Linked DNA regions of Diceros bicornis minor. The protein of the gene in region 2 purifies or fractionates together with the protein of the main gene of each other region. This does not show direct contact. Links are inferred from orthologs where the notes say so. Each region holds a gene or a part of one and is shown on either strand. Other genes may lie near its edges.

Region 1 (8,011 bases), on a different chromosome or scaffold from region 2:
TCTCAAATGCTCATTAAAAAGAGAGAGTTTAAGTATACTAATAGACTTCTTTTTAAAAACCACTTTTGCTATCTTAGCTCCCAATATGCCAGGCGCCTATTCCAAACAAAAAGCACTTACTTGGCAGATGAGGAAACTGAGGCATAGAAGCTCACTTGCTTAAGGTGGTACCCATTTAGATGGCTTCTTGACAACCAGATCAAGCCTTGAATCAAACCAACAAATCCTATTACCTACATAGCACTGTGGTAGACCCTGGGGTATACAAAACTGAATAAGTTATGGTTATAGTTGAAGATTCCCAACATCTCTGCTTCTAATTGATGGACATCACGCTTCCCCAAACATAGTGAATAAAATTTCACCAGTTACAATGGAATCTGATCTAAGGACTATCCAAGTCACCCTGACTGGCACCAGAAATGTCCTCATTCCCTGAAGGGCATTAGGGCTTGGAATGATCCAAGGATTACTTGGTCTAGAACCACACTGGAATCCTCACAGGTGAAGGACGGCACCATTTAAAGAGGCCTTTTTCTCACACCATTCAGTACAGGCCAAGCTACATTTTTCCTCTTACTTTTTTCATGCTTTCTCACAGTATCAGTACATGGCAGAGGTACAAAAGTGACTTGAAACACAATGTCCAATTCAGCTGAAGTTCTGAAAAAACAGATCACCTAGGAATTGCTACGTGACCTTGACTAGTCCTCAACCAACTCATTAACTAAATAAATGCCTTTTATCATCACCAGGGAAAGGGTAATTAGTCATCATAAAGCAGTTTAATACAAAGTGCTGCGTAAATGCTAAACAATAAAGCTCAGAAGGAGCAGATTAATAAGAAACCCGGCGGTACATTTACCAGCAAATGGAAACTTACAACAGGGTCTTCCCACATTCCTGGCAAAAACTGCTTCTTTCAGCTAATGGGATATGAGTCTCTAAAATCATTCCCACTTGGCCTGACAATCGTACACATTAGCAATATTCCTCCTGGGAAGAAAAGAGGAAAAGGGATACTTATTCCTGGTAGGCAGTCATACAGACAAATTACTAGTTAGCCAGGTGGGCAATTAATATTTGACTACCTACTGTATGCCAGGTACAGAGTTAGGCAGAGTGGATACAATGGTGAACACGAGTCCCTGCCTTTACTGAGTTTACAATCTACAATACAAACTTTGTCTTACTAATAGTGGCACTTCCAAGAATAAAGCCTTACTAAAATAGAGGCAAGTAAGAATAAAAACACCTAATTCTTGAAGCAACTAGACAAAAGAGGACAGGCTAATGGGGAGAGGATGAGTTCAGGGGATTAGGGTACCAGGGCTTTCCCATTCTTCCCCCTAACTCATCACAGGTACTACCCTTAAGCCTTCTGCTTATAAAGGCTGAGACTGTATCTCCAAATAATGCAGGTTACAAAGGGTTACTGCCCCAACAAAGCAGTCAGCTGAACTGATAGCACTAAAAATAAGGTTAATCAGACTTCTTAGAACCAAGGGATCTTCTATAACCTTTTTTTAGGCATTCTATTGGTAAGAGCTTAATTTTGTGGCAAAACAGAGCTAAAGCACACGATGGTGACCTGTCTTTTCAATTCTGCACTTGATTTCTGGAGTAGTAGATTAATTTTCAAAAAAAAAAAGTCATCTCTCCCACTTATGACAGCATAACGAGCTCAGGTGCAGGAGCCTCCAAGACTGTAACTACTCCTGCAAACCCTGCTTTGTTCAGCTTATAGAAGCACTGCCTCCCATCAAACACTGCAGGCAGAGAGAGACAGCCTTGAAACACTCTGTCTTTATATAGGAGGGAAATATTTATCCAGGTTCTCACTGGTTTCAGAAAGGTCACGTCTCTGCAAAGGTTCTCTGGTCTATTGTTAACTGGATGCCAGGTATGTCACAAGTCAAGATGTGGTTGGCAACAAATGCTCAGAAAGCACTACAAATCCCAATTCCACCACTCTGAGAACTAGTTAGACTAAAACCTCCAAAGGCTGCCATTTATTTTTCCACAAGAGAATTAGAAGGGCGTCCTTTGAGCTCAACCCCCAGCACAACAGACTAAACTTGTTCTGCCTCAGTAAGTGCAGTAAAGAATGAGCAATCGTTCCTTACCACCCACCCCTCCAACCCACCCAAGCTCCTTTCTCAGGGGATGCCTAAGTGATCTATGCACATGACTACGATCAACCTGTATCCATGACAATGTCTGCTGTCACCAACCTCCAAAGGTTAATTTCTCACATATGTCGAAGCAACTGGACGACCGTAAAAGGTGAAAATCAGTTTTCTTTTGAATCGCATGTTGTCCTCATTGCTTTCACCTGCATAAAAGACCCAGCTCCACGCATTTTTTCCCTCCTGCTCCAAGCTAGCACGCAGTTGTTGGATAAACCGGCCACCGCTTCCAAAGATTTGCCCGAAGCAGCTCTACCCGATTTACACACTCGCCCGAGGGGAGATTTTCTGAACACCTCCATCCCATGGGGCTGGTCACAGAGATCCACTGAATTGGTTCACCCCCTCCCACTCCCGTCTTGGAGACCTTTCATCCAGGAAAAGTCAGCCGCAAATTTAAGGCCCAGCCCTGCCGGGTTTCGAAAAGATCCCGAGGGCCGAGGGACAAAGGAAAGTGAGGTCAGGGGCGGCCTTTACAGCTCGGGATAGGTCTGGGGCCGCTCACCCGCCCCTCACACCACCTCGGCCGTCCCGGGGCACCTCGAACCTTGCCCCGAAGTCCCGAACTAGCTGGAGCCCCGGGCTCGCTCGCGCCCCTTCCGCGAGGCCCCAGCCTGCGCCTCCGCCGCCACTCAGAGCCCCCGCACCTTCTTGGGCGCCTTGGTGACGGTGGCCATGAAGGAGTACTTCTCGGCGTCCTCGATCTCCTTGGCCTGCTTCAGCTCCTCCCCGACCCCGGGCAGCGGCATCGCGTCAGGCATCGACATCCCCCGGCCGGCCGGGCCCGCGGCTGACCCGCCGCCCCCGCCTCTTTCCCTCTCGGGCGCCCGCTCGCCCGCCCGCGCGGCTCCCTCCGACACGCGCTCGCCCACCCTCCCGCCGGGCCCCGCGCCGAGCTGCGTCCGGGGCTGAGGAGTTGTGACCCGTGCCGCGTTCGCACCGCAGTCCAAGACAGCCAAACAGCAACGGCGGCGACGAGAGCACCAGAAGCAGCAGCGCGGAGCTCTGACCGGTCCGCGCCACCACCTCCGCCGCACGCAAACACGCACGCAAAGTAAGGGTAGAGGAAGGTGACGCCACGTCAAGTACTGGCAGCTCCGGGGAAGAGGAAGAGGCGGGGAGAAACGGCGCTCTGTCATGACGTCACCACGCTGGACTGGGCCGCCGAAGCCACCCCTTCTTCCTCCCAGCTCGCTGGTGCTGAAGCTCCCAGCGTGAGCCTGACCCTTTGCGCCGCCAGGTGGCGCCATCAGCCCTGTGAGAGGCGCGTGGTTCATGCAAGGGTGCCGCGTAATTCGGGGGGGGGGCGTTTGGGACTGCGGGCTTTCGGGCAAGATCTCGGAAGAGCGTGAGGGGGATGCTTGGGAGCAAAGACCAGAGTCCCACACGACACATCCTACAGCCAGTCCTAGGTGACATTCGGGGCCCAAGACAGCCCACTCACTGCCCCCACCCCAGGCCCTTTGGACCAGAAGCCCCTTCCCAAGGGGCAGTGTTTGCCTCTTTGACTTAAGGGTGGGCAGAACAGATTCCAAGCTGTGTGGTTTCTGCGCGACCCTTTGTGACCTCCTTCACCACCGTCTCCGCTGGGCCTTGCCTGTTTACAAGACCTTCAGGCCGCAGAGCTGATGTTGTCGGCCATGAGCATAGGGATAATGGGTCAGAGGGTGGAGAGCATGAGGGGCGGGGGTGGAGGAGCCTGAATGGCTTTCCTGCTCCATGCACCCCGCCCCTTAAGCACGAGACTCTGCCAGCTCCCAGTGCGGCAACCAGGGCGTTCATGGACCATGTACATGCTGTTACTGGGCCGTACTACGTACTGTTCTTGTGCTAGACCCTGGATAGTAAAGATGAGTGTGATACGTTTTATGTTTTGCAAGGCTTTGTCCACCCGAAGACTCAAACCGTATTTGCAACCTAATGTCAGCTGAGGTAGCTTGTCCTTTGAGATTCGAACGACGTTGGCTCCAACTCCCATTTCCTGTGGAAAGTCCAATGCCCTCCCCAGGATTTCTGTGAATTACTGGGGGGACTTAGATTTTCATGGTTACCTCTGGCTCTAATTTTCTGCCTCATCTGAAGTTTTGTTCGCTATTCTGGTTTTGTAGCTGTTTCTTTAGTTCCTGCTGTCAATTCAAATATGGAACATAGCCCCTTCTCCTTTTAACCCCCACCCCTATTCCAAAACAACCACAAAAATAATGCCGTAACATGTAGCAGAACTTTTAATGAAGGTTTGTGGGCCACAGGGGAGAGATTACATCACACAGCAAACAATTTAAAGTCATATTTCTAAAATGTTCTGAAAAGTTATTTTGGCTATCTTGTCACCCAGGATTTCTCACTGGCCGCACCACCCCACAAAGATCCCTAGCCCATTGCCATCTAATCTAGCTTCCTCTTCTTATTCCCTTCCCATCCCTCCACCTCATCCTCCCCTCCTTGAGTAACTCTGGGAAGCCAGATTTTTCTCTACGGTGCTGACTATTCAAGTCTTCCCACTGCCCTTTTCCTAAATTTCTCCCCAGGCCACCTTTTCATATCCAGAAACCTACCAGGTCTCTGACAGGGTCAACTCTTTCAAGAAAGAAGTTGTAGTTTGAAGTGATATTTTCCCCACTGGTTTATGTTCAAAGTTGGGAAGTATGTGAAATACTTGCCTGTGGGGCTCCAGAAGTCTTAGACAGAGAAGCCCATGTTCCAGCCCCATGAGGCCATCTGTTTGATGCAGGCTGTGGAAGTGCCTGGTAGGATGCACACTTCTGCAGATCCTGGTCTTTAACTGTCAGGATTCTCTCATCTGCCCACTCTTTCAAGCCCCTCAACTTCCCTCTCAGGGGTATTCCTGTAGCATAAGGGACAGAGAGATGGGGAACCAGAATGCTGGATTCATCTGTAAGGGTGCCAGACTGGCACCTTTCTCCTCATCTCCCAGCCGGGGCCCAGAGCTATACCTGCCCACCCAGGACTCTTTGGACATATGGCCTGAGGTAGCTTTCATCCTATGGGTTTGCCTGAACTATTGTCAGAGTCCAGGGATCAGAGCTGCCTGCTCAGAGAACAGAGGCAGAACGAGTTGGAACAGAGGTGAAAACTCCACATTCCTTGAATAGGAAAACATGTGACTTAGGATAGCCTATTTAAAAATAAGGAAGCAGGGTGTGTTTGTCTTTTGGATTTGATTTTTAAAACTTCCATTGTCTGAGAGCTTTGTCTCTCAGGACATGCTGTGCATGTTAGTATTCAGATTATGAGATTCCTGGAGACTGAAGTTCAGCCTCTCTTTTACTCCTGAACCAAAGTAACAGGTTTTCCCTATCACCACGTTCACAGGATTGGCTGTTGCTGTTGGGGGTGGTGAAGACAGGGCCAGGCCTAGAGGAAGCAGTACCTTCACAGTTTGAGCCAAGAAGGAGACCAGAAGGTGTGACTCCACTTACGTGAGTGCCTGGCCCAAGGTGGGTTTGGGGAGGCTGACCTAGGGGAGTCGGGGTGCTTAGACTGGAAGGATGGAGGGGCAGCGCTCCCTGCCCTGGTGGAAAGGCAGCAGGCCTACGTGGTTCATGTCAGGCCACAGCCAAGGGCATTCCTGGAAACCAGCTTGCTGCAGAGGACATGAGTGGCTGCCCTTGCTCCCATTGTGTGTGACTGGAGATCAAAGAGCTCACTCAGCCAGAAAGTGTGATGACATAACATCAGTGAGAACCATTGCACGCTGCCCCCACCACTCCTAGATGGCTGCACATGGACCAGCTAAGGTGTTGCCTCTCATGGATGCCAAGAAATGACCTGTCTTCAGCCCACCCACCCACCTACCAGACGCAGTGCCTCTGAGCTTAGTCAGGTGGATGAGTCGGGGCTCACTCCCCTGAACAGCACAATCCACACACAGATGAGAGAAGCCACCAGGGGCCAGTGTTTGAGAAGAGCGGGGACCCAAGGACAGGTGCACCTATTGTGTGTGGTCAGGGGAAGTCTCCGAAGGGCTTAGAGACCAGAGGGGACCCTGCTCTAGAAAGGGTACCACACATGGGCTTGATCTTATTAATCAAATCCACCCTAAAATTTACCCTCCAAATTCAGTCATTTTTTTTTTTATTCATAAAATATACATTGAATGCTGAAGAAGGAGCAGTGTTGGATGTTGGGACAACAGAGAGGAATGAAGTACTGATGTCTACGTGGGGACAGATGGTGGAGGGTAAGGTGGGTGGGATGGTGGATGGGGATGAGCAGGAAAGGCTTCATAGAGGAAGATGCTGCTCTACCTGACTCTTGACAGTTAAGCAGCTGGACGAGGTAAGGAAGGGATTCCAGGCTGAAGGCATAGCCTGGCAGGGCAATGAGAGAACTTGGCATGTTATGGGAACTGTAAACATTTCAGTGTGAGTGGGACACAGGGTACAAAGTAGAGCAGAGTGAGAGCTGAAGCTGGAGCCAGATGTGGCTGGATGGTGGTGACATGTACCGAGATGGGGAACACGGGAGGAGAGGCAGGTCTGGGTGGAGGGGCTGCTGAGATAAGGAGTCAGCTTAAGACATGTTGAGGTTGATATGTCTGTGGAGTGTGCTGCCCTATGTCCAGGGGAGCCTAAGTTGGAGCCTTTCACACCATCTGCTCCCTGCCAGTCTGGTACCCCCAGCACCCTGCAGCAAGGCTGTGCTCTCCTGTAGGCCAGGCCCCACTTTAGTCCTCCGAAATGAATGGTGCAGAAAAATTGCAGGAGATCTTGGGTGACAATAGAAGTATGGAAACAGGTGAACAGCTCAGTGGCTCTGTGTCCAGCAGACCCCCTCCCATTATCTTTCTGTCCCAGAACCGCCATGTTGCACAACTCTGGAAGGCACCATTGACATTGTAATTGATGTGAAATGTGCCCTTGGAGCACGAGTCCAGATTGCTGGTCTGCCCTGCTGTCCCTGAGGGACTCCCCAAGGGGAAGGCTCCCAGCTGCACCTCTGCGCCTCTGGTGCTGGCTCCCCAGGCATGCCTGGCTCCTGCTTCCCACTGAGCTCCTTCATTCCCCCACTTCCAGCCTCCTTCCCTCCCCTGTATTCAATTCCAGCCCTTTTGAGAAGATAGGCCGTCCCCCAGGGCCTAGAAAGACTCCTCCTCCTTCTCTGCCTCCTCCTGTGCTTATTATGATCCTATTTATTATGCATTTTACTGTTTATTATTGTTTTGAACATAATCTTTATAGGAAAGAAAAACCCGTGAAGATAAAAATCTCTTTAAGTTCACTTCAGGTTCTTATCAATTTGCAGAAACTCACTTTTACATACCTGTGATCAGTAGGTATATGTCATTTTGTGTTCCAGTTTGATCAAATCATAGTGTTTTGAAAGCACGTGTACCACATGTGGACATTGTTTACGTACTTGTCCTTGTCACTGTTTCCCAAGGGTTCCATCCTATTGCCATAGGAGTTTGCTTACCCATTTTCCTATTGTTGGGCATGAGTTGTTTCCAACTTAATGCAGTATAAACAGAGTGTGTCGGGGTAGGAGTCAGAGTGGGAATGGCTTTCAAGCAAAACAGACAAGGGTGGGTCACAGCACTAGGTCCTGCCAGAGAGAAGGAGCAAAAATGTTAGCAGTGGGGCCAATTGTCCTGGCTGTAAGCAGGGCCAGGGGGACGGCACCTTTCTGCTGTAAGGGGGTGTGAGGTCCACTGCCCGGAACTCGTGATGGCTGACTCATGGGGAGGCTGTGTGGTGTGGAGGGAAGCCGGGCATCTGGGCAGACGGAGATGTGTGGCCTCAAGTCTTGACTCTGCTACCAACTTGGCTGCTGGAACCCTGGGTCTTTCTGGGCTTCTGTTC
Region 2 (7,007 bases):
GTCATCCCACTCATCCTTCTGCCATCTCCCAACTCATCAGTCCACCAGCCATCCACCATCCTTCCACACAAACCTTCCATCCACCCACCTCTTCCTTCCTCCTTCTCTCCACTCATCCCCTTTCCCACTTCGGCCCATACTGACTACCATCCCACAGCACCCCCTGTGCCAGGCTCAGACACGTGACACAGCGCCTTGAGTCCCACCTCCTTCTGTCCCACCACACGGCGGCCAGGCCCAGCCCCTGCAGGGCGGCCATGATCACGTTGACATCATAGTTGCCGGTGCCCAGGAGGCTGCGATGGGGGTTCAGCCGGGAGTCTGGGGCCAACCTGGTTGGGAAGTGGTCGGAGGCTGAGTTGGGGGCCCCTGGAAAGGCCTCACAGTCCCCACAGAGCAGGAGAGCCCCAGGGTCTGTGAGTCACCCGACCTTTGGACTCTTCCCTCTCTTCAGCCCCCACGATTCCTCGTGCCCCCGACTCTCTCTGCCCTGTCCTCCAACCACTTCTCCCTGCTCAGGCCTGTCCTCCACCTGCACCCTCACCAGCCTCCAGTCTCCCCCTCCAGTCCACCTCCCTCAGGGCCTGGGGGCTCCTCCTACACCCAGTGCTCATCCGCCCCTCCCCTGCTCCCAGCCCTGCCCATCACCTCAGGATAGAGTCCCAGCCCCTCAGCCTGACCTTCGAGGCCCCACCTGGTCTGGTCCCTGCTGGCCTCCGTCCCACCCCACCCCTTCCCAGCCACCTGTCCCCAACCACATCTCCTATGCTCCTGCCTCCCGGCCCTTCCTCCAGCTGTCGGTTCCCGAGCCCAGGAGGCCCACCCTGTCACCACTCGTCTCTCTGGGCCCTGCCTCTTCTGAACAAGGGCACCTTTGTTCTCTGTCTGGGTTCTTGGTGGGCAGGGTGGGGAGGGGTCGGAGAGGGGCAAGTTTGTGTATTATTTTTCTGTGTATCTGTTTCCCTGGCCTCCCTCAAGGCAGGGCTCATAGTAGACTGATTTCTGGGTCTCCAGCGTGGCCTTGGCATGAAAGAGTTGATAGATCCCTGTTTTGAATGACAGGAGATGAATAAGTTCTATAGTAATCAGTCTGAGGGGTTGGGATGCCTGAGGATTCTGAGGGGCCACGGGAGGGCTGTGAGCAAGAGAGGCGGAGACAGGTCATCTCTAGGTGTAGGTCATTGGGGGACTGACTGGAGGGGAGAGACTGGAGGCCAAGGGGAGGGCCCAGGAGTTGATGGGGCCTGAGCTGGGGCTGGGGCTGTGGGGACAGAGGCGGGGATGAGGCGGAGAGATAACAAAGTGATGTTTGACATCTTGAATAGAGAGGAGAAACGTTCCAGGCTGCCAAGAGGAGGAAGCCGTGCCAGACAGAAAGAATGGCCCGTGCAAAGGCCCAGAGGCATCATAGTGGGGCTCATTCAGGGACTGGAGAGGAATTTGGTTTGAGGGGAGCGGCGGGATATGAAGCTGCAGAGGGAGGCGGGGACCAGAGCATGCAGGGCCTTGCCTATCAGGCTATGGGGCTTGGGACATCTCCTAGGGGTGCGGGGGAGCCACAGGAGGGCTGTGAGCAGGGGAGGGGCAAGGTAAGCGCTGGGTCCCTGTGTGGACTGGAGGAGAAAACTGGAAGCTGGGAGGCTGGAGAGGAGGTGGGGACAAGGAGGGCCCAGATAAGAGAGGGTGGGGCGTGAGCTGGGGCTGCGGCGTGGGGACAGATAGGTGCGGAGGCTACAGCTCCATCTCTGAGTCCCCAGGTCCAGCCCAGGTGGGTGATTGGGCCAGCAGAAAGCCCCCGGGCTCTGCCTCTGCCTTGCTATGAGACCCAGGTGGGTGGCTTGGCCTCTGTGAGCCCCGCTTCTCCAGGGGTCAGGGTGGGTGATGGTCACCTCTTGCAGATCTCGTCGGCAGCCTCCTGGGTAAAGAGCTGCTGCTGCAGAACGTTGTTGAGGGCGTGGATGGCACACAACTCCAGGCGCTGCCGTTCGTGGTACACGGAGGGTGGGCTCGGCTGTGCTCCTGGGGCCTGGGACATGCCGTCCTCAGCTCCTGCTTAGGGGGCGTGGGGAGAAGGTATTCGGGGGCCCGGGATCTGGAGGCCCAACCTGCCAGCAGGCCCTGGGGGCACTGCCATTGGGGTGGGGGCAGCCTGAGAGGCCACTGCACCCCTGACCCTTCTCCCTGGGTCCTTTCCTGGCGACAGGGTACCTCCATCCTCTACTCCCAGGAAAAGGCTCTCTCTTTGGCTCACCTAGCAACAGAGGACCATCCCCGCTGCATCCCTAAGTGAAAGGGTCCCTATGGTGGTCACCTAGCAACGGAGACACCCCTCCTCCCCTGTCCCTAGGTAACAGGCTCCCTCTCTGGTTACCTAGCAACAGAGACCACCCCCCCCCAACTAGGTAACAAGTCTCTTCTCTGGTTACTTAGCAATAGAGGGAGACTCCTCCCCTGTCTCTAGGTAACAGGGTCTCTTCTGGTCGCCTAGCAACAAAAGACTCCCCTCCCCTGTCACTAAACAACAGGATTCTCTCTTCCTGTCACCTGGCAACAGGGCCCCCTCCCCGGACACCAAGTAACAGAGCTCTTTCCCCGGCCTGTACCCCAACCGCCGCGCTCGCCCGTTGCCTGGCAATGCCCCTCACCCCGCCTGCCTCTCTGCTCCCCCGAACAAGGGGCTTCCGCATCCCCCTGGCCGGCGGCTCTGAGTTCCGAGTGCGGGCCTGGCAGCACCACTCTGACTGGGCAGACGGGACGGACTACAGCTCCCGGCGGCCCCCGCGTGCTGGACTACGACTCCCGGCCCCCCCCACAAGAGTTTTCGCTCTGCTCGGATCGTCTGGGCAGCGTAACGCGGAAGTCCGCTCTTGCCCCAAGAGCGCGGAACTACAACTTCCGTCGGCCCCTGCGGTGAATCCCGGAACTCTGCGGTACAGAGGCCCATCCCTTCGCGCACTACCACGCCGCCTGCTGCTCAGAGGGTTCTGGGAAATGTAGTAGGTTCTCGCGATAGTTTCCAGGAGTGTTGCTCCCATGTGTACCCGCCCCCTACGATAGCGTCATGCCTAGTGTGAGGATGAAGCGTGACGTCACAGAAAGGCAGATAGGGACCAGACACCAAACCGTGCTGGGAGAAGAGCCTCCAATATTTACTGGGATGGGAGGGAGATCCAGGGAAACAGAGGCCAGGGCAGCAGCGGGACGGTGATGGGGAGGTAAATGAGGCGAGGAGGTCCTCTCGGGAAGGAGGCGGCTTCTCAGCAGAGACGGATCCCCGGCCTGGAGGGGAGCTGGCAGCAGCCTGCGGGGGGATACGGGGAATGAAAGGCTGAGGCAGAGAGAGGAGGAGACACAGATACCTGGAGGAAGGGACAGAGCAGGTGCGGGTGGAGGAAGCCCTGGAGAGAGGGACTGAGACCCAGAGGGGGACAGAGACACACGCAGAGAAGCTAGGGTCCCAGAGTGAGGGGGACACAGAGACTCAGAGAGAGGAGACTTGGACAGAGAGAGAGAGAGAGATGAAGATTCAAAGTAGTGGAGTAGAAGGTTAAGGAGACTCAGAAATAAAGATCAATTAACAGAGACAGAATCAGAGCCGCCGAGCACCGGAGCCCAGGCACGGGGAGGGCGCCGCTGGCACCGGGGAGGGGCCTGGCCGCACCCAGGAGGCTGCGCCAGAAGGCGGTGACAGTGGCAGAGCCCGTGACAGCGCCCGGCTCGGCGGGGTTCTCCCTGTGGGTGTGCACAGCAAAGCTTCGGCCTGTGGGGCCCGGGGGTCCGCGCAGCTCCACGTCCACCACATGCATGTCCGTGAGGCTGGGGCAAGCAGAGTGGTCAGTTTGGCCGGCCCGGCCCCAGCCCCAGCCCCCGCTCGGCTTAGCTCACCTGAGATCGGCCACCAGCACCCCGATGACGCCGTCGAAGCCCAGGCTGGGGGCGGCCAGGGCGGCGGCCGCCATGGTGTTGGAGTTGCGGGGGGCAAAGGGGCAGAGCCCGCGGACAGGGCCTTCGTAGAGCAGCGTGCGAGGCCCGGTGCTGCGCGCTGCCGCCAGGGGTCCCTCGAGCCGGAAGCCGTCGGGGTGCGTGGCCATGGTGACACGGAGGCTCTGGAAGTGACAGCTGGGGTCAGGGGGTCTGGGGTCTCTGCAGGCCCCTTCCGGTTCCCGGGGAGCCCACTGGGCCCTCACCTGGAGGCCCCCTGCTGCGTCCAATCTGGTGATGTCCTCCGTGCCCCACAGGGCCCCCCGGGCCACAAACACAGCGTGGTCCCAGCGGCGCGAGGCCTCCAGGAGCTGCTGCTCCGTGGCCGGGTCAGCCAGGGCTGAGGGGGACCCCACCTGGGGCGGATGAAGTGGGGAGGGGCTGAGGTCAGGGGACCGATCCCACTGTAGGGTGGGTTGGGGCCAAGGCGGAAGGGGCAGGGCTCACCAAGAGATTGGCATAGCGCAGGATTTGTGCCCCAGATTCCTGGATTATTTTGGGATGGGCCACTTCCACCACAAGGTCAGGGTGCCTGGGAGAGGGAGAGATGGGGGAGGGCCTTGGAGCATATTAGGCCTCCCCTCCCAGGTTCCCTCAGTCTGTAGAGACCTGGCACTCTTCCTCCTGGCCCAGGAGGGGAAACAGGGTGGATGGGCCTGTCCCATTTCACGTTTGGGTGAACCAAGGCCCAGAGAGGGTAAGGGACTCGCCTGAAATCACACAGCACCCAAGGGAGGCGAGAACAGGAGCTTCAGGCAACCCCACTCTTTCATGGTGAGGTCACTGACCTCTCCCCAAGGGCAGCGAGGTGCTGGAGCTGCAGGGAAGCGGGCACGCTCCCTGTCATTCGTGCTGGGTCACGATTCCAGACAAAAACAAGTTCTAGGCCCACTTCCGGTCCCTGAGTCAGCAGGTGGGAGACAAGGGACTGTCCTGGGGAGAGGAAAAGAGACTCAGAGAGAGGGGACAGAGACCCAGAGAGAGGGGACAGAGACCCAGAGAGGGGGGCACAGGGACCCAGAGAGAGGGGCACAGGGACCCAGAGAGAGGGGCACAGAGACCCAGAGAGAGGGGCACAGAGACCAGAGAGAGGGAACAGAGACCCAGAGAGAGGGGGACAGAGACCCAGAGAGAGAGGGGGACAGAGACCCAGAGAGAGGGGGACAGAGACCCAGAGAGAGGGGACAGAGACCCAGAGAGAGGGGGACAGAGACCCAGGGAGAGGGGGACAGAGATCCAGGGAGAGGGGGACAGAGACCCAGGGAGAGGGGGACAGAGACCCAGAGAGACGGGGATGGGGACCCAGAGAGAGGGGGACGGGGACCAGAGAGAGGGGACAGAGACCCAGAGAGAGGGGTACAGGGACCCAGAGAGAGGGGGACAGGGACCCAGAGGGAGGGGGACAGAGACCCAGAGGGAGGGGGACATGGACCAGAGAGAGGGGACAGAGACCAGGGGGGGACAGAGACCCAGAGGGAGGGGGACAGGGACCCAGAGAGAGGGGACAGAGACCCAGGGAGAGGGGGACGGGGACCCAGAGAGAGGGGGACAGGGACCAGAGAGAGGGGACAGGGACCCAGAGAGAGGGGGACAGGGACCAGAGAGAGGGCACAGAGACCCGGGGGGGGGGACAGAGACCCAGAGGGAGGGGGACAGGGACCCAGAAGGGGATGGAGCCCCGCGGTGGAAAGTGGAAGGTGCTCAGGCAGACAGGGAGACAGGGCACAGATAAAGACAGATGAAAAGTGTGTTTGTGGAGGGCACAAGGGCTTTTGGGGGCTTCATGATGGGGCCTGGGGAAGAGGCCCCAGACAGTCAGGGACTCACCGAGGCGGCCGTAGCCCACCACCCCCACCCTCCGCGGGACCCTGTCGAGGGCCATGCCCTTGAGTCTGCTGGTCTGCTGTCCGAGCTCTGTCGGCTGCTCCCTGCTTCCCCCCCCCCCACCCCTCGAGGCCTGGACAGCGGCTGATCTTTGGACGTTTGACCCTTGAGCCTGTCCAGAACTTTCCCCCCTCCCTGTAGTGCCGGGAAGTGGGGGTGCAGGTTTGCTGCCTGGGGGCGGGGTGAGCATCCTGGGGGCAGTGGGCACGATGATTCGGGGTTCCAGGGGCCCCACGTGGCCCCCACTGTACCCGACCTGGTCCTTCTCTGCATCACGCCCTCCTCCCTTCCTGCTGATGTGGAAAATTTCCTCTGCAGTCCCCCGCCCCCCTTTCTGGCTGGCCAGGTTGCCATGGAAACTGCATCCTGCTTGGGGTGGGGGTAGAGACGGTTGGGAGTGAGGGAGAGGTGATGGTGGCCGGGACTCTGGGTTCTCAGTCTGTCCCTTGCCCCTGGGTTTCCAGTCCCCGCCCTGGTGGCCGCTCCCCCTGTGCCTCGGCACCTGTGTTTCTTGTCAACATTCCTCCTCCGTGTTTTCTCCCTTCTCTGTTCCTGTCTCTGATCTTGCTCTTGCCCTGTTGCCGTCTCTCGGCTTCTCCCTGGGTCTCTGGCTTTCCAGCCCCCGCCCCCATGTCCTCCGGGCTGGCTGCCATCCTGTTCCCAGCCAGGCCAGGCCTGCATCTCCTTCCTACCCCGAGCTCCGAGGGAGGCCTGGCCTGTTCGTGCCCCGTCTCTCCACAAGGCAGCAGGAGCGGGAGTCGGGCTCATCCTAGCCTCAGCGGGCCGTCTCCGCAGCCCTTCTCCAGAACCTCCCTCCCTCCCTCCACCTGATCATCCCTCAGTTCACCTTGACTTCCCACCTTTCATCCTCCCTCCCCCACCACGATGCGCCCAGACACCCCCATGTTGCATTCTCGCTCTCACACCCATCCCTCCCCTCTCCCCACCTCCCTTCGGCTGGGAGAAGCCTGCAGGGCCTGGGGAGGCCCCGAGCGCCCCCCAAATGAGCCCCCCGCCGCTGCGCCTCGCGGGTGCCTGGCATGGGAAATGGCGGAGGCTGCGGCAGTGCTGGCTCCCTGCCCCCAGCCACCACCTGGTACCCGCTGCAGCGTTGCCATGGCAACCAGGATCGCACTGAAACA

What was found. The genes of interacting proteins can lie anywhere in the genome.
Region 1: the proteins of JOSD2 (region 2) and AHCYL1 purify together in Homo sapiens (affinity purification with mass spectrometry; 4 studies listed by BioGRID and IntAct, counting the BioPlex papers as one, with this or other methods). This does not show direct contact. The link is inferred for Diceros bicornis minor from reciprocal best matches to the Homo sapiens genes JOSD2 and AHCYL1.

The regions. Positions count from the first base shown.
Region 1 is NC_080743.1:43,022,511-43,030,521, reverse strand, and holds the start of AHCYL1 (S-adenosylhomocysteine hydrolase-like protein 1), read right to left. Parts: upstream 3,008-8,011; 5' UTR 2,957-3,007; coding exon 2,837-2,956; intron 1-2,836. UniProt on the Homo sapiens protein: Multifaceted cellular regulator which coordinates several essential cellular functions including regulation of epithelial HCO3(-) and fluid secretion, mRNA processing and DNA replication.
Region 2 is NC_080773.1:25,679,502-25,686,508, forward strand, and holds the start of JOSD2 (josephin-2), read right to left. Parts: upstream 3,009-7,007; 5' UTR 2,646-3,008; intron 2,053-2,645; 5' UTR 2,036-2,052; coding exon 1,890-2,035; intron 333-1,889; coding exon 207-332; intron 1-206. Other genes in the region: ASPDH (aspartate dehydrogenase domain-containing protein), read right to left, coding at 3,558-3,816, 3,886-4,106, 4,188-4,337, 4,429-4,513, 4,770-4,968, 5,809-5,863. UniProt on the Homo sapiens protein: Cleaves 'Lys-63'-linked poly-ubiquitin chains, and with lesser efficiency 'Lys-48'-linked poly-ubiquitin chains (in vitro). May act as a deubiquitinating enzyme.